3 linked regions of the Mytilus edulis genome follow. The protein of the gene in region 1 purifies or fractionates together with the protein of each later gene. This does not show direct contact. Links are inferred from orthologs where the notes say so. Each region holds a gene or a part of one and is shown in the gene's direction. Other genes may lie near its edges. The genes, in order: intraflagellar transport protein 25 homolog, intraflagellar transport protein 22 homolog and intraflagellar transport protein 88 homolog.

The links.
Region 2: the proteins of intraflagellar transport protein 25 homolog (region 1) and intraflagellar transport protein 22 homolog purify together in Homo sapiens (affinity purification with mass spectrometry; 3 studies listed by BioGRID and IntAct, with this or other methods). This does not show direct contact. The link is inferred for Mytilus edulis from reciprocal best matches to the Homo sapiens genes IFT25 and IFT22.
Region 3: the proteins of intraflagellar transport protein 25 homolog (region 1) and intraflagellar transport protein 88 homolog purify together in Homo sapiens (affinity purification with mass spectrometry; 3 studies listed by BioGRID and IntAct, with this or other methods). This does not show direct contact. The link is inferred for Mytilus edulis from reciprocal best matches to the Homo sapiens genes IFT25 and IFT88.

What each region holds. Positions count from the first base shown.
Region 1 is NC_092344.1:108,773,222-108,780,520, forward strand, and holds intraflagellar transport protein 25 homolog, read left to right. Parts: upstream 1-4,224; 5' UTR 4,225-4,300; coding exon 4,301-4,392; intron 4,393-4,739; coding exon 4,740-4,846; intron 4,847-5,186; coding exon 5,187-5,255; intron 5,256-6,632; coding exon 6,633-6,781; 3' UTR 6,782-6,860; downstream 6,861-7,299. Other genes in the region: leucine-rich repeat-containing protein 42-like, read right to left, coding at 356-474, 1,980-2,380. UniProt on the Homo sapiens protein: Component of the IFT complex B required for sonic hedgehog/SHH signaling.
Region 2 is NC_092349.1:48,722,742-48,729,683, forward strand, and holds the start of intraflagellar transport protein 22 homolog, read left to right. Parts: upstream 1-3,824; 5' UTR 3,825-3,922; coding exon 3,923-3,964; intron 3,965-5,452; coding exon 5,453-5,535; intron 5,536-6,942. UniProt on the Homo sapiens protein: Small GTPase-like component of the intraflagellar transport (IFT) complex B.
Region 3 is NC_092353.1:50,393,765-50,401,338, reverse strand, and holds the start of intraflagellar transport protein 88 homolog, read left to right. Parts: upstream 1-4,506; 5' UTR 4,507-4,541; intron 4,542-4,792; exon of another isoform or gene 4,793-4,943; coding exon of another isoform or gene 4,944-5,037; intron 5,038-6,365; coding exon of another isoform or gene 6,366-6,489; intron 6,490-7,140; coding exon of another isoform or gene 7,141-7,248; intron 7,249-7,574. Other genes in the region: transaldolase-like, read left to right, coding at 4,944-5,037, 6,366-6,489, 7,141-7,248. UniProt on the Homo sapiens protein: Positively regulates primary cilium biogenesis. Also involved in autophagy since it is required for trafficking of ATG16L and the expansion of the autophagic compartment.

The sequences.
Region 1 (7,299 bases):
TGTCATTTTTACGCCTGTCCCAAGTCAGAAGTTTCTGGACTTGGTTAGTCTTGAATTTTTTTAAAATTTTAGTTCAATTATGTTCAGGAGTTAAGTGTGAAGTCCACTTTCACTGAACTAGTACACATTTTATTTAGAGGCCAGCTGAAGTCTACCTCACGGTGCAGGATTTTCTTGCTGTGGTGGACTTTGGTTGTCTTTTTGTCCTGGTCGGGTATTGTCCATTTCCATTCTCTATTTTATGAATGAGTGTATTTCTATTTTTCTTTAGTTTCAATACGGTAACTTAAATGTTTCACAGATCATTTTATTTTTATTTTTCTAATCCAATATTGTATATTTTTACTCTATTTACCAGATACATCCAGCTTAGTCAATCCTGCTGGTCCCTGACCACACACTCTGTAAGGACAAGTCAATCTCTGGATCCCTTTATCAGATAAACTGTTGTCACTCAGACACAATATCTCCAACCTTCAAATTAAGTGCAAGTACATATCATAATAAGTGTAATAAGTTGTCGAATGAGTTAAAATACAGCAAGGCTAATATGAAATTCAGAGAACTTTCATACAAATTATCTTCAACATAACATATTGCTTTTTATACGACCGCAAACATTTTTGCGGTCGTATATTGGTATCAAGTCGTCGTCTGCGTCGTCCGAAGACGGATGGTTTCCAGATAATAACTTTAGTATAAGTAAATAGAAATCAATAAAATTTTAACATAATATTAATAACCACAAAAGGAAGCTTGGGATTGATTTTGGGGGTTATGGTCCCTTAGGTTTATGAATTAGGGGCCTAAAGGGGCCCAAAACAAGCATTTGTCTAGTGTCAGTACAAAAAGTTGTGTATAAGTATTTCAATTGTTCTGAAATTGTACCACAATGTTTAATACCATAAGTAGAAGGTTGGGATATATTTTGTGGGTTATGGGGCAACAGTCTAGGAATAAAGGGGCCAAAACAAGCATTTTTGTAGTTTCAAGACAATAAATTGGAGTTATCTTTCTTTGTCCCGAATGGTTGTTGAATCACCTAAAACTAATGCTTTATGAAATCTTCTTTGAAAATTGAAGTTATCTTTCTTTGTCCAGAATAGTAGTTGAATCAACTTAAATCAATGCTATATACAATATACAATGCAATATTCACTTTACTACAAACTGATAAATTAAAGCAGTCTTTACCATTCAGTGATGACAAGCACTTTGATTACCATTCTAGGGTTATGCCCATTTACAAATGGAAAAATTGAAGAACTTTTAGTTTCTGTTCTCTTAACTTAAGTTTGTCTCAACTCAATTAAAAAGAAAATTTCTTCAAATATTTTTTTTTTGAGAGAATTAATATTCAACAGCATAGTGAATTGTTCAAAAGCAAAAAAAAATATTTTAAGTTTATTAGACCACATTCATTCTGTGTCAGAAACCTATGCTGTGTCAACTATTTAATCACAATCAAAATTCAGAGCTGTATCCAGCTTGAATGTTGTGTCCATACTAGCCCCAACCGTTCAGAGTTCGACCTCTGCGGTTGTTTAAAGCTGCGCCCTGCAGAGCATCTGGTTAAGTTTTTTTTTTTAAATGGTGTTTTCAATCTTTATGTACCTCAACTTCCAAATTTCAATAAGTAAATAGAAACTATAGTGACATATATGGGGATAAAGTATACCACAGATTGTAAACAGATATTTTATTGCACTATCAATTAGAACTGACCAAATGGATAAGCGCAGTTACAAGTGTTTACTCATAAGCCTATGAACTCCATACATGAGGGGCCTGATTGGTGGTGGGGGGGGGGGGGGGTCGCATCACGATTCACAAGTTGATTTTTTCAGAGAAAAAAAATCTGTAGAAAAACGAATCACGATAGCGAAAATGCGCTGATCACGAAAAACGAAAATAACCCATCAAGCCCCTCATACATGTACATTTTCTGTCAAACTGCAGTTTTATGTGGAGAATCTTACCTCTGAAGTTGTCCCAAATCATTCAAGAAATCATGTTCATCTCCTAGTCTACAACCAGTCAAATCTATTTCTCTAAGGGATGTCAACAAATTTAAACGATCCTGACAGAAATTAACTCCAAGGTATTGGTTACAGAGGTTTAAACTTGAAATGATAAGGTCCTCATATACAGTAGTAAATATTGAAAGTGCATGAAAGCTGTTTTTGTCATCTAAATCAAACTTGTCTAAGGATTCTGCTTTTCTGAATATCTGTTCTGCTATCAAATCTGGCAATCCATAAAAAGAGTCAACATAACACAGATTGTCTGCTACATAGTGTATGCACTGTGACAACAAACGTTTTGGTGTTTTTTGTCTTTCTTCAGATATATCATGTGTCTTAAGTCTCTTCCCATTCATATCATTTCAAAATAATTATTTATTATTCAAGTTATACTGTACCTAAAAAGAGAAAATAGATACATTGCTAATCTATTTGTTCAGAATGCCTTACATGACAGAACAAAGGCTCCACCTTTTATCTGTTAGAATTTTTGTTACATAACAAAAGCTCTATTGGGAACTTTCACCAGATAATATTTTATCCATTGCCATACAGCCAGTACGTTGGTACTCGAAAATATTAGGCAGTAAAATCAAAGGGAAAATATACGGATTACCAATAAAATGAAAGTATTAGAACTTGTGTTACATAATAAAATTATGTTAATCATGTGAACAAACAGAAATTTCATATAAGTGATAATCAAAATACATGTAAGCTGCTAGTTCAACATGTTCAATGTTGGGCATAATAATTATTTTGTAAAGAATGCCATTGTATAGAATTATTCTGAGTAACTCAGTTGGATCTTATACATGTTATAAGAGGATAATATATACTCCAGGAAATTATTTCATAAAGAAGGAATAATTATTATATGATTTAATCAAGTTTTCAAGAACTTTTGTTATCAACCATATAGTGTTCTGTGCACAATAAATATATAGTACTATCACTGTATGAACTACACTTTAAAAGGTTGTGACCGTGTAGTGTGTGAACTGAACCAGCGTTTAAACATGTAGGGTGCCAGCGTGAAAGGTGGAACATGTATGGGAGTGAACCTGACTTTGGGTGAATGTGTATGAGGGTGGTAATGGGGGTACCTTCATCACAAATAAATAATTGACAATTGATGTTAACAGTAATTTTTAGTGCATGACGATAAAATGTACACTTGTTTTTAAATGATAAAAAAATCAGGTGTTATTGACAAATCATGTTATTTTTTTAAGTTAATTTTTTTCAAAAATTAACAATAACAGTAACAATAATTATTTGAGACCTCTGCCGAATCAAGATAAGGATATTTTGACAAATCACAGTAAAATTTAACCATTTTGTATCTAATACCCTCAGTAATGAGAGCGAACATGATTTTAAGCAAACAGACATGGATTCCTCAGCAGCTCATGTGCCAGCCTCTCTTGGCAGCGCTAAAACAGAGAACATTTGCTAGTAACTAATTGAATAATTGTAATTAAAAATAAATAAATTTGGTGTATCTACTGTTTTCTGATTGGTTAAAAGTATTAGTTTTATTTTCAATGTTGTCAATTTTATGGTGATGCACCCACTCTGACGTTGTGTATTCATACGCCAACATGTGTGTACGTTGTAATTGTTAATATAAAAAATATAAAAAGTTCTTTGAGCCTTATTTTTGATAGAAATTTATTTATAATGAATGGCAATAATTTATTTTGAATTTATTGACCCATAAAAAATAGCCATTCATTAAATATTTTTATCTTGTGTTTTTTATTTCATTCAAATTTTGTTTTGTTTTTTAAATTGTTAAAGCCTCAAGGCCTCTGAAAAGACAACTTGTATATTTTATGATTTTGTGTCACCCTTTCAAAAATTCAACACAAGTTTTTTAATACCTATGGCAAGGACGTATATTACAGTGTTAGTTATACGTCCTTGCCTATGGTTACTTACATGTTATTTGTTAAATATTGTATGAAGTGATTTGGAATTTGGCGGGGAAAGTTTCCGAACGGATTTTTAAAAGGCGGCTATCATTTCCGGTCAAAAAATTTAACCACAGTCAATTACTTTTATTGTTGACCGAATTTGTCTGCATTTGATGATAAACTTTATTATATCTTAATTATATCTTAATTATTTCCGACTTATTTTTTAATTTTTGATACGTATATTTTATTTTCAATATCATCTCTCTCAGGATGTCGGGTCGGGATGAAAAGACTTGTTTGCGGTGACAACAATAAATATTCCGAACAGCCCTAACATTCCTAACGAAGTTAAAAATGTTTGATGTTGCCTTAAAATCTGCTGGTGCCCAGGTTGTGTTAGCAACTTCAAGTGATGATAAATATCCTCCTGAAAATATTATAGACGGGTAATCTCAATTTTAAACCACTGAGTACACTGCATTATAAAAGAAAACTGTTCTCACCCACCGACACTTGCATAAATAATTGTTTCTTGCTCAATTTATACCAAAAATAGAAAAATACTTTTTGCCTTGTAAAACAATGTACCTTTTTTCTTTGTGTGATCCTGTGTGGAAAACATTTACATATACTAATGCCTTACGTGTACATGTATGTTACAAAGTTTAATAAATACACTATTATCCTAGCATGCATTCTACAATTCCATACACAAAAATAAACCTACATTATTGATTATCCTTTATTGTGTCCAATCCAGTCATTTGAGTCTTTAAAACATTGTTTATTTCAGGGATTCAGAAACTTTCTGGACAACAACAGGTTTATTTCCACAGGAATTTGTCATAAAATTCACATCAATGATGAACATGTCGAAAGTAGAATTAGCTTCATGTAATGGTAAGTTTATATAAATATTGAAAAAAATATTGATAGTTTTATCTTATACCAAAAGAACCACTGATAAAGTTAAAGACTTGATAATGTATACTTAAAAATATACCATGTTTACAATAACTAGAAAAATGAACTGAAAGAACAACTGATATGTAGTCAAAAGCGTGATAATATCTTTTTAGATATTTACCATGTTTACAGCAACTAGAAAAAAAAAAGTACTCAATTTGTGTCTCATTCCAACAGTTAATATTATTGAATTAGAAATTCTTTGAAGATAAAATGAAATACTTTTTCATTCTACAAAGGTATTTTAATACAAGAAATGTTATTTCTATTTTAGTTAGAAGATTGATCTTAGAGAAAAGTACAGACAGTGAACCTTTAAATTTTGAACCAATAAAAGAAATAGGTATGTTTCATTTCTTAGTCCCTTACAAACTAAGTCGAAGGGGAATTTAGGTTTGCACTCTGTCTGTCAATCGGCAAATCAGTTTTCCACACTTTTTTCTTCATGCATGAAGATATGGATAAGATATTTGGTGTATTCTTTTATCGAGACGAGTTACAGATCAGGTTCCAATTTGTTCACTCAAATAATTAGTTTTACACACTTTTTTTTGTCATGCTTCAGCTTGAACATATTGACCAGATATTTGTTATATATAGTTTACACCATGACAAGTTATAGATCAAGTTGGCATTTTGTTCAGCACAAAGAACTTTTTACTGTTAGGGGACTATGTATTGCCATGCAGTACTCTCAGAATGTTTGTTGTTGTATGCAGATTTTGACATAATCCTAGTGGTAAAAGACTGTAAGAGCAAACATTTCAAATATAAAAAAAAATCAGAGGGTAATTCAAACTCAAAGATACACATCCATAAAAGAACAAAAGGCCAGCAAAATAGTCATTCATAACAAACCCATGATTATGTTTTAAACATCAAGAGTTAAAAATACACTATTCGTTTAAATTTTCCATCAATGAAATTTAAGATTTTTTTAGTACTGTAATATCGCAGTCCCGCTAGGCCACGATCGCACTACGATCTGTGAAAAAAATGAAAATTTTGATTATCGTAGTGGGATCGTGTAGATATATATGTATTCATGCCGCTCATACCGCGACCTCACCATGATCTGAATAAATTTAAGAACACAGTGAGCATGGTGCGATCGTGGTGTAGTGGGACTGGGGCTTCATATAAATAGAAAATTGACAGGCCAAATAGCAATTTTACAAGACTGTCTGTTAACATTGAACAATGAACAGATAAATCTAAACAGTTACTCTCTGGGATATTTAAAGATTTTTCCTAATAATAGTAATTCTCAGACTCTAAACACATATATTGAAACTGACTGATCTTTGTTTGTTTTATGTTTACATAAATTCAGACAAATAAAATGACTTTTTAAAATGGAAGCAATTTTGCATGCATTTCTGATTGTACCTTCAAATAATTTATTATAGTCTTGACAATTCAGTGGTAATGAAGTTGTTTTTGGGGTGAAAATATATTTATTATATACAAATAATTAATGCAGTTTTCAGGCAAATACATATCCATCCTTTCAAACTTGGGTATATTTTCACATTATCATGATACAAAATTATTTTTCTCTTCTTTTCAGAGATGAATTCTCACGATCATGATACAAAATTATTTTTCTCTCCTTTTCAGAGATGAATTCTCACGATCATGATACAAAATTATTTTTCTCTCCTTTTCAGAGATGAATTCTCATGATCATTATACAAAATTATTTTTCTCTCCTTTTCAGAGATGAATTCTCACGATGGTCAACTACAGTCAGAAGAAATAAATCTAGGCAATGTACAGGCACAACATTTACGTGTTGTAATCGATTCAGCATATGACCATTTTGCAGCTGTTTATAGACTACATGTAGACGGAACAGCAGCACATTAATATAAATCCGTCATTTGAACTATTAACATTCCGTCCATGGTGTAATATTTATGCGTATAAACAAAATTGTTATAAATTTTATTGTTGTTCTGGTTTCATTGGAAATGTTTCAATAAGGAAATAGAAAATTCACATTTTTGATTTAATAGTAAGATTCAAAAAGATATGATAAATAATCTGTAGACAGTTGCTTAAAAATAGGAAACACATACGTTTTTGTCTAGCTTGGGACAAAAGTTGTGTAAAGTGAGAGAAAAGGGATTGCTTTCAAATGAGGATGATGGCGTTAGTTAGTTTCATAGGAACTACTTGTGATGGATCATTGATATTTAATATAAAGTAGCATTACTATCAGTACATATCAGAGTATGACTATTTTGAGGCTCTGCCCCCTAGTTCATGGTCCAGTGAATTTAGATTAATTTTGCTAAAGTTAGTTTGATAGGACCATTTGTGATAGATTAATAATATTTTGTATGAAGTGGCATTACTATCAGTACATAGTTTGACTACTATTT
Region 2 (6,942 bases), on another chromosome or scaffold:
AAGATAACTAAACATAGACCAATGAACCTTGAAAATGAGGTCAAGGTCAGATGAACCATGCCAGGCAGACATGTACAGCTAACAATGCTTCTATACAACATATATAGTTGACTTATTACTTATATAGTTTAAGAAAAATAGACCAAAACACAAAAACTTAACACTGTGCAATGAACCGTGAAAATGAGGTCACGATCAAATAAAACCTGTGCGACTGACATAAAGATCATAAAATATTTCCATACACCAAATATAGTTGACCTATGGCATATAGTATTAGATAAAAACTTTGACCACTGAACCATGAAAATGAGGTCAAGGTCACATGACATCTGCCCGCTAGACATGTACACCTTACAATCGTTCCATACAACAAATATAGTAGACCTATTGCATATAGTATGAGAAAAACAGACCAAAACACAAAAATTTAACTTTGACCACTGAACCATGAAAATGAGGTCAAGGTCACATGACATCTGCCCGCTAGACATGTACACCTTACAATCGTTCCATACAACAAATATAGTAGACCTATTGCATATAGTATGAGAAAAACAGACCAAAACACAAAAATTTAACTATAACCACTGAACCATGAAAATGAGGTCAAGGTCAGATGACACCTGCCAGTTGGACATGTACACCTTACAGTCCTTCCATACACCAAATATATTAGCCCTATTGCTTATAGTATCTGAGATATGGACTTGACCACCAAAACTTAACCTTGTTCACTGATCCATGAAATGAGGTCGAGGTCAAGTGAAAACTGTCTGACAGACATGAGAACCTTGCAAGGTATGCACATATCAAATATAGTTATCCTATTACTTATAATAAGAGAGAATTCAACATTACAAAAAATTTGAACTTTTTTTTCAAGTGGTCACTGAACCATGAAAATGAGGTCAAGGACATTGGACATGTGACTGACGGAAACTTCGTAACATGAGGCATCTATATACAAAGTATGAAGCATCCAGGTCTTCCACCTTCTAAAATATAAAGCTTTTAAGAAGTTAGCTAACGCCGCCGCCGCCGTAGCCGCCGCCGGATCACTATACCTATGTCGAGCTTTCTGCAACAAAAGTTGCAGGCTCGACAAAAATTAAGGCTGAAAATTAATTGCGTCATAGTATAGTTATCAAAGGTACCAGGATTATAATTTAGCTAGTACGCCAGACGCGCGTTTTGTCTACATAAGACTCATCAGTGACGCTCATATCAAAATATTAAGCCAATAAAATGGTTTTGTTTTTAGGTGTGGCGATATTTATGTTGGGGCACATACATCCTTTATAACATTATATCAACTTGAGCATAGTTAACATAATAACACATCACTATTTAACTCAGATTGTTTTTGTATAACTTGCTAATCGTTTGACTTTAAAAAGCTTACCTATGCTTTGTTATACCAAAGTATGAGAGCTTACTTCTTACGAATCAAAAATAAGTGCACAATCACTTGCTATTAAAACGGGGTGATACACAGTTTACATAAAGCACTAGCAACTGAAAGTTTCTGTAAATTTTGCGGAGATAACATAGAATATTGTACGCATTTCCTTTTATAATGTCCCCAATATAAAAACCTTCGGGGGAATTTACGTTTAAGTTTTCAAAAATTGGTTAAAGTTAAAGTTAATGTTATCAAATCAGTATCATATTTAATTAATCAAAATAAAATTGCTGATGCCAACCAAATTTGTAAATATATGAGATAAGCATTTGAATATAAAAAAAAGGAGATGTCAGATGTGGTATGATTGGCAATAAGACAACTATCCACCAAAGTTCAAATGAAGTGGATGTAAGTACATTGTAATTACAGGCAACCGTACGGTCATTAACAATGAGAAAACCACAATTTAAAGTTCAAAACAATGCTTAGTGTCAGTAAGTCTACCATAAATAATGGAAGAACTATACAAAAAATAGACTTGTAGTTGTAGATACAGCATATAATGAATTTTCTCTTATTTTGCATTATGTTTTATTTACATTATTTGTCATGTTGTATATATGTCATGTTTGTTGAAGTACACTTGGAATACGCAATGCCATCTTTTTTTATATATAGGTGCTTTTTATCCAATGAAATATTTTATTTGATCTAAGATGACCAACCGAAAATAAGTACAGCTGTAAATCTGACTTGAAATTTTGTAAAGTATAGTGCCGTTTTGCAAAAACTGAACGTTTTCTTCAAAACACTGCAAAGTGCTTGACTAATTGAATAGCGCGAAGCTTCCTTAGGACGTGACGTGATTATCATTATGACGTTACGTCATGTGGTATCAGGTCCGTTCGCGCCCAATATAGTTTCGCACCCTACACGTTCGCACCTCACATTTTCGCCCCCCACGTCCGTTCGCACCCTACATGTTCGCGCCCAATTTTTAATAAAATTTAAGTTAAATTGTTAGAAATTATTCATATGAATAATTGTATTCTATTTGAATAAAATTTGAGAATTTATTGAATAGATTTTTTCTTTTATCAATCTGATGATTAATTATTAAATGTTGATTATGTATGATTATTGCTAATTGGTATTTATGACAATTTGGTGTTATTGTTTACTGTTGTTTATAAATCATGATTGTTGTTTTAAATTGCTTTGATGTAAATACTAATAAAATAAATATATAGCAATACACTTACCATGCATACCAGTTGTTCAACATGTTGGACCAGATACGCACTAAAATTGACTAGAAACAGTGAAAAACAAATTATTTCAATACACTAACCAAAACACGATTAAGAATTATTCAACACACAAATGAAATAGTTGTTGCCAGAATAACATAATCCGACTTAAAAACAAAGACCTTTTTTTTTATAAACTTGTCATGACACAAAAAAACTTGTCAGTATCTCGAATTATTTAGAAACAATGGCATATATATTTATACCAATACACCTAAAAAAAATCGGTAAAATTGGGTGCGAACGTGTGGGGTGCGAACGAACTTTGCAAAATTTGGGTGCGAACATGTGGGGTGCGAAAGTGAATGGGGGCGAATGTGGAAGGGTGCGAACGTGATTGGGCGCGAACAGACCCGGATTCACGTCATGTCATGTCATATAAATAACGTTATTTTTTGAAGAAAAAAATAAACATCTATACTTTATGTTTGGTAATTCTTCAATTATTTGAGTTAACATGCTGTTATACAAGACTAAATAACAATTTACTGTTTTTGGTATTTTTTTACTGAAATTGACCCGTTTCTGGACAATGTTTTGAAATTTAGCTACGCACTAAGAGGGTTAACTCACATTACATATTAACAAGAAACAGGGCTGCTGAAACTGGTCTAGCTTGATTACAGATCAGTATCATTAACTCGGTCCTCTCCCAAGGTAATCAATGCTTCATATTTATATTGACACCATGAACCCTATTTTTGTTAATAGAAATTAAAAATTGTAAATAAAAATTTTGAATGTACAAGAATTTTTCAATTAAAAAAAATCCTCTACAATACATTTAGCAGCAACATATACATGTACAAAAATTATTCCATAACATATATGGTACCTTGTAACATATGTGGCAATCAATGAAATATTTGAGAAATCAAACTTTCTACAAGACTCAGCATGATATAACTTTTGCGGCTTTCAATCTGAAAATTTAAGATCACGTGATCAAACAAACCGTAAAAGGTGTGTGTCGTAAAATATATTACTTTTTATATATGCCTTATTTCCAAATCTTATGATTGTACGAGCGAAAGTAAATGATAATCGTTGTGATGATTTATCAAGAACCTTCCTTACTCTCTCAAGATTTAGAATATTATCAAATATTTCCAATGATCACCAGGTGTCGCTTTAATTCCACTTCCTTAGCGAGATGTACACATTCCTTCAATCTGTGAATAAGAAATAAGTCAGTTGGTGTAAAATGATGTTTAAAGTAAAAATTCTTGTAGTTGGACCTTGTGAGGCAAGTTTCACAACAATTCAGCTTTAACTTAAGTTTTCGAAATATATTTATTTTCAAGATAAGGTTTTCAAGTGTGTTTTAAAACTGAAACTGAAGAGACTTCAAGAGTGAATATTTTTTACAGGTGCTACTAATACCAGACTGCCAAATGATCCAATGAAAGTTTTTGTAAAAATTGTCCACACAAAAGTCGAAAGGAATATGTGACATACCCATCTGTATAATTTCAGAAGTGGGAATTGAAATGCATGTGCAGATCCTTGTAACGTAACTTGTCAGACTTTACCACCGACTCCAATATTTCATATTTTGTGGACTGCCTGTGCTAGCATGCTTGTCTCAAGTTATGTGTTAAGTATTGGAGGTTGTGGGTTCCAACCCTTGCTGAGGTAAACCTCATTTGAACCTAAGACTTTGAAATTGATATAAACGTATTAACACTTTTGGTATTAAGCTGAATCTTGGAAATTGTCTCCGAATGACCTTAGATCTACTCCAAATCACCTTTTGACGTGAGGCAACAATCACTTTTAAATTGTGACGTCAAATATTTTAGATTATGATGTCAAAGTTTACAGGAACCTGTGTGATTTTACGTAATGGCGGACAAATTTGCATACAAGTGTAAATACGTCTATTTGCTGCTTTTTTGCAGGGTGATTGATCTGTGTTTTACCTGCTCGAATTATAATAATCAATAACTATATCTTTGTAACTATGTTTTATTCTCAAAACTACATATGTACAATTATCCAACTCTCAGTTTATCACTTTATGGCTGCACATGCTGATCGTATCTATAAAGTCATGAATATTTATTATCTATGTACATGTAGGCTGGTCAAAATTGTTTCATACGCAATAATGACCAGCCAGTACATTTTGTAATAATATCATTAACCAGTATTAAAAAGATAAATATAACAAGGGTTCTAGTGTGCTGGGATTAGTGCAAGGCGTTTTGGTGAGTTCCAATTCCAGCCAGGGAAGAATAAAAATTCTAACATTGTTGGGCTGTTGTTTAGACGAATTACAAAATGTATATAAATATATAAAACGTCTGAATATTAGTGAACAAACTTTCATGCAAGGGTGCTGGATTGTTACAAGTAACAATACATGTAGACAATAAATTAGTTATATATATAAACATCTAAAATGTGCACAAAACAACACTGAATAATAAAAAAGAAATATATCTGTTATTATCTATCAAGCTTTTTTGATTAAATTATAACAATCTTGAAATTTAACATGTAGAAATTAAGTCTTGTAACAACACTTCATGTGTAAATTGTAATGACCCTGCATACCAGAGGTATCCACTTTGCAATATAGTGTATACATATTTTACAGACATGCAGTACAGCACACAGAGACTCAATTCCATTTCAGATTCTATTGATTTATGAAGTCACACAATTTATCATTTATGTGTATATTAACTTTGTTAAAGAAGATCTTGATAATTTTTATTTTATTTTACAGAGTGGTAAAACTGTGTTAGCGAACTTCTTAGCAGATGCAACAGATACTTCTAGTGGTGAATACCATCCAACACAGGGATGCAGGTACAATCTAGGTGTATTATTGTCATTCAAAGCTTTCAATAAGCCAAAGTTATTAACCATTTGAGAGCATAAGAACTTTTAAAAAAAGGTGTAAATAGAATGTAAAATTTCATCTCTGATTCTCAGATACAATAAGGTATCACATGTACCAATGAGACAACTCTCCACCAGACATTAAATGACATTGACTTTTTCATTTTCTGAAACATTATTAATCTTAAGTATTGTTAGTAATAAAGGAGTAGGTTCGATAAGGACCTAAAATGGCCCCCTTTTTTAGCCTAAATTTCAAATTGGGATTTGATGACCAATATCAAAATGAATCATAGCTAATACAGTGATTAGATAGGACTTAAGTCTTTTTGTTGTAAATTTATGTTTTGCATTTTAACATGATGTCACAAATAGTACTCATATTGATTTTCCACGCTAAAACAATGAAAATGGGTAAATTTCTATTGATTATTTGGACAGGAAACATACAGTGCATACATCGACAAAAAAGATCTTTGACAATGATGTTTGTAATGACATTTTAGCTTGAATATCAAGGTTGTCAATGGCTGCGCTTTATGTTTCCTGATCTTAGATTTGGCTGAAATTTTACCGATTTTGTCAAATTTCGCCAAAATCTCTTATTTTGACCTAACTGGGATGTAAAAATCAACGCTTCAAAATAAAACTATGGTAAAAATAGTTCTATGTAACTTTGTCACATGTCTTTTAGTCAACTTAAGGTGGTATGGGAGTCTAAAATAAAAATAATAGAATTTGTTCATATTTTGCCAAAACGTAGTATCTATTGATATATGTTCAAAAATATAATAAAAATGATAGGTCACCGTGCATTTTCTCAAATTACAGGTTGTAACAAAATGACACATTTTGTATGGATTATACAGGAAAAAACACCATTTTGTGATTAGAAACCAAACAAAATGATAGAATTGTAAAATAAATGCTTTGAGAATATCAAAAGAAAGGATTGGGTCACCGTATGTTTTTTCCGGCTAAAATACGTAACAAAATAGGAAAATTCCATGTAGATTCCTTCAGAAAATGCAGTTCTAGAGTTACCTCCACTTAAAATGCCAATTTAAAAAACATTTCAAAACAACCAGAAATAATCTACACTTGTAAAAATATTAATATTTATAAGTTATATTCTCATAAATTGGTTCTTTTAAATGATAATTCACATTAAATATCTGCATTCCTGCATCAAATTTTGCTGATTTGATAGAAAATATGGACCTTAGGTTCTCTGTTTTTTACAATCCAAGATGGCGAAAGACACCACCTTTAAAAAACATTTATAATCTTGTTATATTGAACTTTATTATATGGCCCTTCCTTTAGATTCATTTGCATCAACTAGATATGTTGGAAGGTAAATGAAAAATGGCT
Region 3 (7,574 bases), on another chromosome or scaffold:
TCAAACGCTTATAAAGCTTCATTTCGAGCACCGATGGCAAAACTATTTTTTAAATGCGCATATGATGCACGAAATTACTTCGATACTCTTATAAATTGGTATTATTTTACATTAAAAGAATTAAAGTGAGAGAGAAAGCTGTATGAATGTTACGAAATAAAATTCTATCTCTGTCAAAATATAGTCTGCATGATTTTGTTTACTGGGCGAAGGACATTAATTTACATAAAGGCATTAATAAAGGCATGAAAATTGTGATTGATAAATATTTAAATCATAAAAAGGTTAAAACTCCTTGACTCATTTAGCACTATGTTCCTTCTTTTCCGTTGGATTGATGTAGTGTGGTTTGTCTTAGAGTGTTGAGATAAGTGAACAGTTCCTTGTGTATTGAATAGTATTTCTCAAAGGTTTTCAATTATGACGTAACTCATTTAGACAATTTCTCGTATTACTTAGGTGTACCACTTTCAATTGTCTTTTTTTTTTATAAGTATGTATGTTTTTAAACTTATAACATGCATATCACCTATGAAAATCAGAGATTTTGTGTCATGATTAAAAAAAAAATATCCATTCTTACCGTTTCTGTAAATTTCTCATAGAACAAGAAAAGTTTGAATTAAATTTTTTTGTTGAGAAAAAAAATCGTTTCCGAAATTAATAGCATCATGATGAATTATCTATGATGCGCTTATTGAATATATCTCAATACAAACATTATGAAATATTACTATCTGTACAATATCTTATTTTGCGCAATTGCAGTAAGGTACTGCAGTATATATCATTATGATGATATTTTTACGCAAAATAGAATTTAGTGATGCTGGCATTAGTTTAAAGGCAGGAGAAGTTTACCGATGTTTTTGTATATGTTATTGTTTATAATACATGTAATAATGTTTGTATTCTATACGCCCTCCTGGGGTCCTAATTGGTAAATAAAATTATTCTATTCTATTCTATACCCAAGCGCCTTTGACGTGTACATGGTGTATTTCCAATAAGTTTGTATGCTATACGCCCTCCTGGGGTCCTAATTGGTAAATAAAATTATTCTATTCTATTCTATACCCAAGCGCCTTTGACGTGTATTTCCAATAAATTTTTAAATTTCGTTTATCTATGAAGACGATACAATACAAGGTAAATCGAATGAACCCCCAAAAGGAACGAGACACGATTCGAGGCAATGTGCGCGAAAACGTATGATAACATCTCCATGCACACAAAAATAAATTGTGTCTACAAGAAACACATACAGATACGCTCCACTCCAAAAGATCTGAAAGCCATAATATGAAACGTTGGTGATTCAGAAAAAGGAAACAGAAAATTTTGAAGCTAACATAATTACAGGTCAAAGTTTCCTCTTAGATTTCATCAGTCTTAACTTAGGCGCAATTATATTACATAATGACCGTCATAAGTTGGGTACATTCAGTCATGATTTAACTATATAGCAACCACAAATCTTTTGGTTAACTGACATGCCGCCATCAATGTCAGCTGAGTTGCAAAAAAAAATTAAGTTTAAATAAAATGATCACACTTAAAATTAAAAAAATAGCGAGTAGCCTACCAATACCACATTCGAGCAAACCATGACCTTGGGTTGTTTAAACTTCTAGTATGTCATTTAATCTAATTTTTAATCAAAACCCATCTTCTCAATCTTATATTCATATGTTATCCTCTTATAGTTGCTGTGATTCCCTCGGTTTTAGTTTGTAACCCGGATTTTTTTTCTCTCAATCCATTTATGACTTTTGAACAGCGGTATATTAGGGACGACATCAAAAGATCAATGTAAGATAAAAAAAAAAAAAAAAACTTAATTCAAATAGTTTGGGGGTGGGGGTTGAACTGCTGCAAGCTTTGGTTATCCGACATTGATTTTTACATATATCCATATGGGTCAATCAAATTTTCCCAAATTAAGTCAATAGGGGGGTAGGGGGGTCAGTGAAAAAAACTATTTGAATTAAGTTTTTTATCCTTCATTGAACTTTTGATGTCGTCCATTACTGTTGCCTTTATTCAAAATTATCCATAATGATTATATAGTTATTCTTGAACCATTTGGGTTTTGGTTATTCTTTATCTTTTTTTTTACCATAATGCTTAAATTTGATACATCTATATCAGTATAAGTCCAGGATTATAATTATTGTCAAATGTGTGTTCAATATATTATTCAAATGAAAATGTGACATTTGCTCGCTTCAATCTGTTTGTAAAATCAGTCAAGTGAGAGATAATGAAGCATTCAGTTCAAATGAGATAGCAATTTAAAGCGGATGAAACATGTAGACAACCTGAGTTTATCTTTCTTTTAAAGAGAAAAACGATTAGATCCATGACAAAAGTTGTTCCTCTTGGTATACATGTAGTTGTAAGATGTTTGCCTGAGTTGATCCATCTGTATACGAATGGCAAAGTTATCTTTAACAGCATACTAGTCTTGTGTCTTGACAGTAGTTATAAAGGCGACAGTAATTTATCAATGTTCAAATATCGTATATCAATTAGTAATACACAATTAATAAGCTGAAAATCACACAAGTGCAAGTCATGATGATTCACTTCCTACTGACGTATCAAAAACTGTGTGTGCCGGAAAAATGTTTAAAGTCACATGATACTTCACTGAATTAAAACAAAGTTGAATATGTTTTATATACATTGATAACTTAGTTTTTATACTATAAAACAAGTGAACTTGGACTTCTTTTAAAGAAAATCCTAGTTTAAATCAAAATTTTCAATTATGTACTGATATAGAATTATTGTCTTTCCGTACTCGAATTCCGCCGATCTTTTTTACGTATGCAGTGACCCTAACAACAATATCTCTCGTTAAAAGCTCGCCATTTGCAAAGCGCAAGTGTACATATGAGTGGGAAAGAAAGTAAACAAACGTGCACATGGTGCAATAGGGAGGTTAATAGTAAATGATTCTTAAATAAAAAAATTAAATACTCCAAATCATTTAACAACTGTGATGAAAAGGTGTATATAATTAACAAATGGGATGCAAACTCGAAAGTTATAATCAGTTTACCGTCAACAAATTCAATCACTGAATATAATATGGGTGTCTAAAATACGTTATAGATTCGTAATAAGTCTTAATAATGAGCATTTGAGGACTTCATTCTGTATATATGTAGGACTCTAAAGTGCGATGGTCTACGCTAAAGTGCGATGGTGTCTCATGCTAAAGTGCAATAGTTGTTTGTTGCTAAAGTACGTGTGTTCATGCTAAAGTACGATGTTATATAACGATAAAGTGCAACGAATCAATTGGGGAAGGTTCGAAGGATTAAAACGTTGAAGTACATGGATGTTAAAAAAATAGTATTTTTGCAAAATCTAGTATGTTATTAAACATGTTAAAGGTATAACATATGTACATGTGAAAAGCTTTATAATTTATAATATACCGGTAGGCTTCAGTGATTGTTTTCAAATTTAGAAGACCGACCAAATAATAATTGCTAAAAAGGCATGCAACCCTGTGTAAACTTTGTTCAGAGCACTACGGTTAAATATTACACACTCCGCTACTTTTGCATAGACTATTTCTGTACTAAAAATATGTAGTACTGGAAATCTACTTTTAATATTCAGTACTATTTTGTTACTCTAAAATTATTGTAATATTTAGGTACATGTATTTTACAGTACTTTATTTGTACTTGAAATTAAGGTACTACAGATTTTTGGTTACTACCGTTACATTTTCAGCATTTTGAAAGTTTTTCTATTTCAAATCTCTTAAAGTTATGATTTTCAAACATGAAATATTGTGTTATTTCTGTACCAAAATATTTGGTACAAATCAAGTACTGTAAAATACAAGTACCTAAATATTACAACAGTTTTAAAGTAAAGAAATAGTACTAGATATTAAAAGTAAATTTCCAGTACTGCATTTTTAAGTACAGAAATAGTACCTATGCAAAAGTAGCTGTGTACATTGCATGTTATAGAAAATGGGAGTTTTGTGGCAAATAAAGACATTTTTTTTATATATCTGCGAACAAAACACGAACTTCATTACTATTCATCTATTTGACCATGAGGTGCTATGGTTTATTGTCTACAAAATTCATAAACAACCTAAAACAATAAAAAAAAAAAACTCGTGCTTAAATCACTAATCTAGAAGGTGTACTTGAATAAGTCCATTCTTTTTACTAGCTTTATAGATATAGCAGTGGTGTGAGTGCCAATGAGACAACTCTCCATCCAAATAACAATTTATAATAGTAAACCATTATAGGCGATTGTACGGCCCCCAACACGGAGCCTTGGCTCACACCGAACAACAAGCTATGAAGGGCTCCAAAATTACTAGTGTAAAACCATTCAAACGGGAAAACCAACGGTCTAATCATTATCTATATATATATATATATAAAAAAAAAAAAAAAAAAAATCTTTCGTTTATCTATTAAGCACAAAATATGTCACTCTAACTATAGGAGTACACGGAGAAAGGCTGCAGGTATATTTTTTTTTTTTTATAAAATGTGCATACGTCGTCACAAGCTAGGGTAACGAGTCTGGCGTAAATACAAAATCTAATCCTGGTATCTATGATGAGTTTTATTTAGTGATTTTTAAAATATTGTATTCTGCAGCTGACATGCTACTTAAAGAGCAACGCTTTTGTTTAAATATCTTATTTTCCTCCGTCATATTGCTGAAGTTGGAGAAGCTTTTTAGAAAGCTAACACTCGACGCTGTTAAACATGTCGTCTCCGAGTTTGTCCTAGTATTTATATTCAGGAAAGCGCTTCCGTCATTATGTCTGGTTCCTTGTCAGTGTTGCATGCCTAGCTCATCCAACATCAATAGCCTAACAGGTAAACGTTTGTCCCAAATTTTGCATCCTGATTTAGCGGAAATATTATTCACAGTAATATCCTGAGATGTCTGAGCCACAAACTAAAAAATCCGCCATGACAACACTGGACCAGCTAAAGGAATTAACTGTCATAGTTGCAGACACTGGTGATTTTGAAGGTAAATATTTTTTTTACATGACAAAAATTATGAGATCTTGTCCATGTTGTTGTCGCATGTCATTTATAAACATGTACAGTATACACAATATGATCAAGTTAATATGACACAGGTGTCCCAGTTACATATGGAAAAAAAGCAAATTCTGTAAAATATTAAGTAATTTACAACTATTGGAATTTTTTTTCAAATTGATTTAAAAATTTTCGTGATTCGTCAAAATATCCTTATCATGATTTGTCAAAGGTCTTAGTTCTAATTATCATTACCGTTTTTTTTTGGAAAAAAATTAATGTGATAAATTAACATATTTGTCAAAATCATTTGATTTTTTTTAGGCACCTTTTTTTATGCATATTTTATCGTTATGCTCCAAAAATTACCGTTAATGTCGTTTGGCAGGAATTTTTACTGTTATTCGTCATGAAGGTACCCCCATTACAACCCTCTTTTATACGTCTGTTTACAGGACGTATTATGGTATGTCTGTCCAGCATCAACATGTCGGAAAATAACTCAAAAACGGTTTAACGAATTGTCATGAAACTTTGGCATGTTTGGTGAATTATATATCTATTAACGTGTGATCCCATTTAATTTTCATAACTTTTACATTTGACATTGTAAGTTTTTAAGTTTTGGAGGGTTTGTTCGTTAAGAATAGGAGGATTTTCTAGTTTTTGAACAATACATGACATGTAACTCAAAATGGTTCAGCAATATGCAGGAAACTTTGGTGTATTGTTTATATCTATTGACATAAGCTCCCTTTCAATTTTTTTATCAATTTTATTATTTACGTTTCAGCGATTTTATTCATAAAAAAGGGGGGGGGGAGTGTTCATACAATGTGTTGAGCAGTTATCATGAAACTTTGGTTACTGGTTTATATCTATTTAGATAGCATTCCTTTAGTTTTCCTGAATATCTGATACACTGTATGACAGTGATAATTTTTTGTACTTTATTCTTTGAAAAAGCTATGGCCGCATCATGAGCTCATGGCACAGCTGTTTATTTATTTAATATCAGCAATGTCAACATTAATAGCGTTTTTTTTGTCACTGATCATGCTGATGAAGGTAAAGGTAAAGAACTTCTATAATTATATCAATTTTATATGGCTTCACTTGAGTGTCAAACAAACCGCTAATCAACAATGTTTACCTTTGGCAAACTGCTGTTATGTATTACATGTACTTTAAAAAGCTTTGTGAAATTGTGTATCTGAAAACACTTCAAAGTTCATGTTTAAAAATGTATACAGAGACAGAAGTTATATGTCATGTTTTAATTATTTATCAGAAGTTATTTAATTACTTTCATAGCTATGAAGGAGTATAAGCCTACTGATGCTACAACCAACCCTTCTCTGATATCAGCAGCAGCAAATATGCCAGCATACCAACATCTTATTGAAGAGGCTGTTACTTTTGCAAAAAAAAGTGGAGGGTAAAATTAAAATTAATACTTTGTTAAAATACAGCAATGTAAAGTGAGTCTTTTAATCAATGTAAAGCTAGAATGTAATTGATGAATATGTGATGAAGACTCATTTCAAAAGAAAAAATATGTACAATAATAAATGTCTTATATATTTATATGTTGATGAAATGCACAATTTGGTGTATCCAATTATCGATTATTGTTCTTTTTTTACATTACATTAAATTATAAAAAGTAATATCACAAAAATACTGAATTCTGAGGAAAATTCAAAACAAAGCCCCTAATCAAATGTCAAAGACAAAAGCTCAAACACATCACACGAATGGATAACAACTGTCATATTTCTGACTTGGTACAGGCACTTTTTTTATGTAGAAAATAGTGGATTGAACCAGGTTTATAGCTACATTTATAGCCTAACCTCTCACTTTATGACAGTCATATAAAAGTCCTTATGAATAGTATGAATAGTGAATTTTGAAATCATGACAAAAAAGAAAATAAACTGAAAAAGAAATATAAAAAAAAAATCATCATGCTGTGTAACTGTACTTTAAACATGTCTTTATTATAAGAGTAAAAACAGAAAGAAGACAAGGTATGTTTTTCTCTTTTAACAAACATAAAATATCTTTTTAAATTTTATTTCAATAGGACAATGGAACAACAAATAGAAGCTGCTATGGATAAGGTATATGTATTGTTTGGTTTAGAGATCCTGAAAATTGTACCCGGCAGAGTTTCAACAGAGGTTGATGCAAGGTATATTTTTTTTTTGCAGAAATTCAAAACATGTGTTCCAGTTAATTTTTGTCTTTGTCACTTTAATATGTACGGAGGACGCAAAGTGCCAATTTGATATCTGTACTTAAAATATAAATTGCAAAAGTCTATATTGCAGGCGGTTAGATATAGAATATGGAATAACGATTAATGAACCAGCCACTAACCTTGCAAACATTTTAAATATGTTATACTGTAAAAGCAGAAATTTTCGTGGAAAGAATATATCCACAAAATTAAAAAACCCACAAAAATTTAACCTAGGCCACAATTAAAAATATTTTGGTTTGTCCAAACCCTACCCA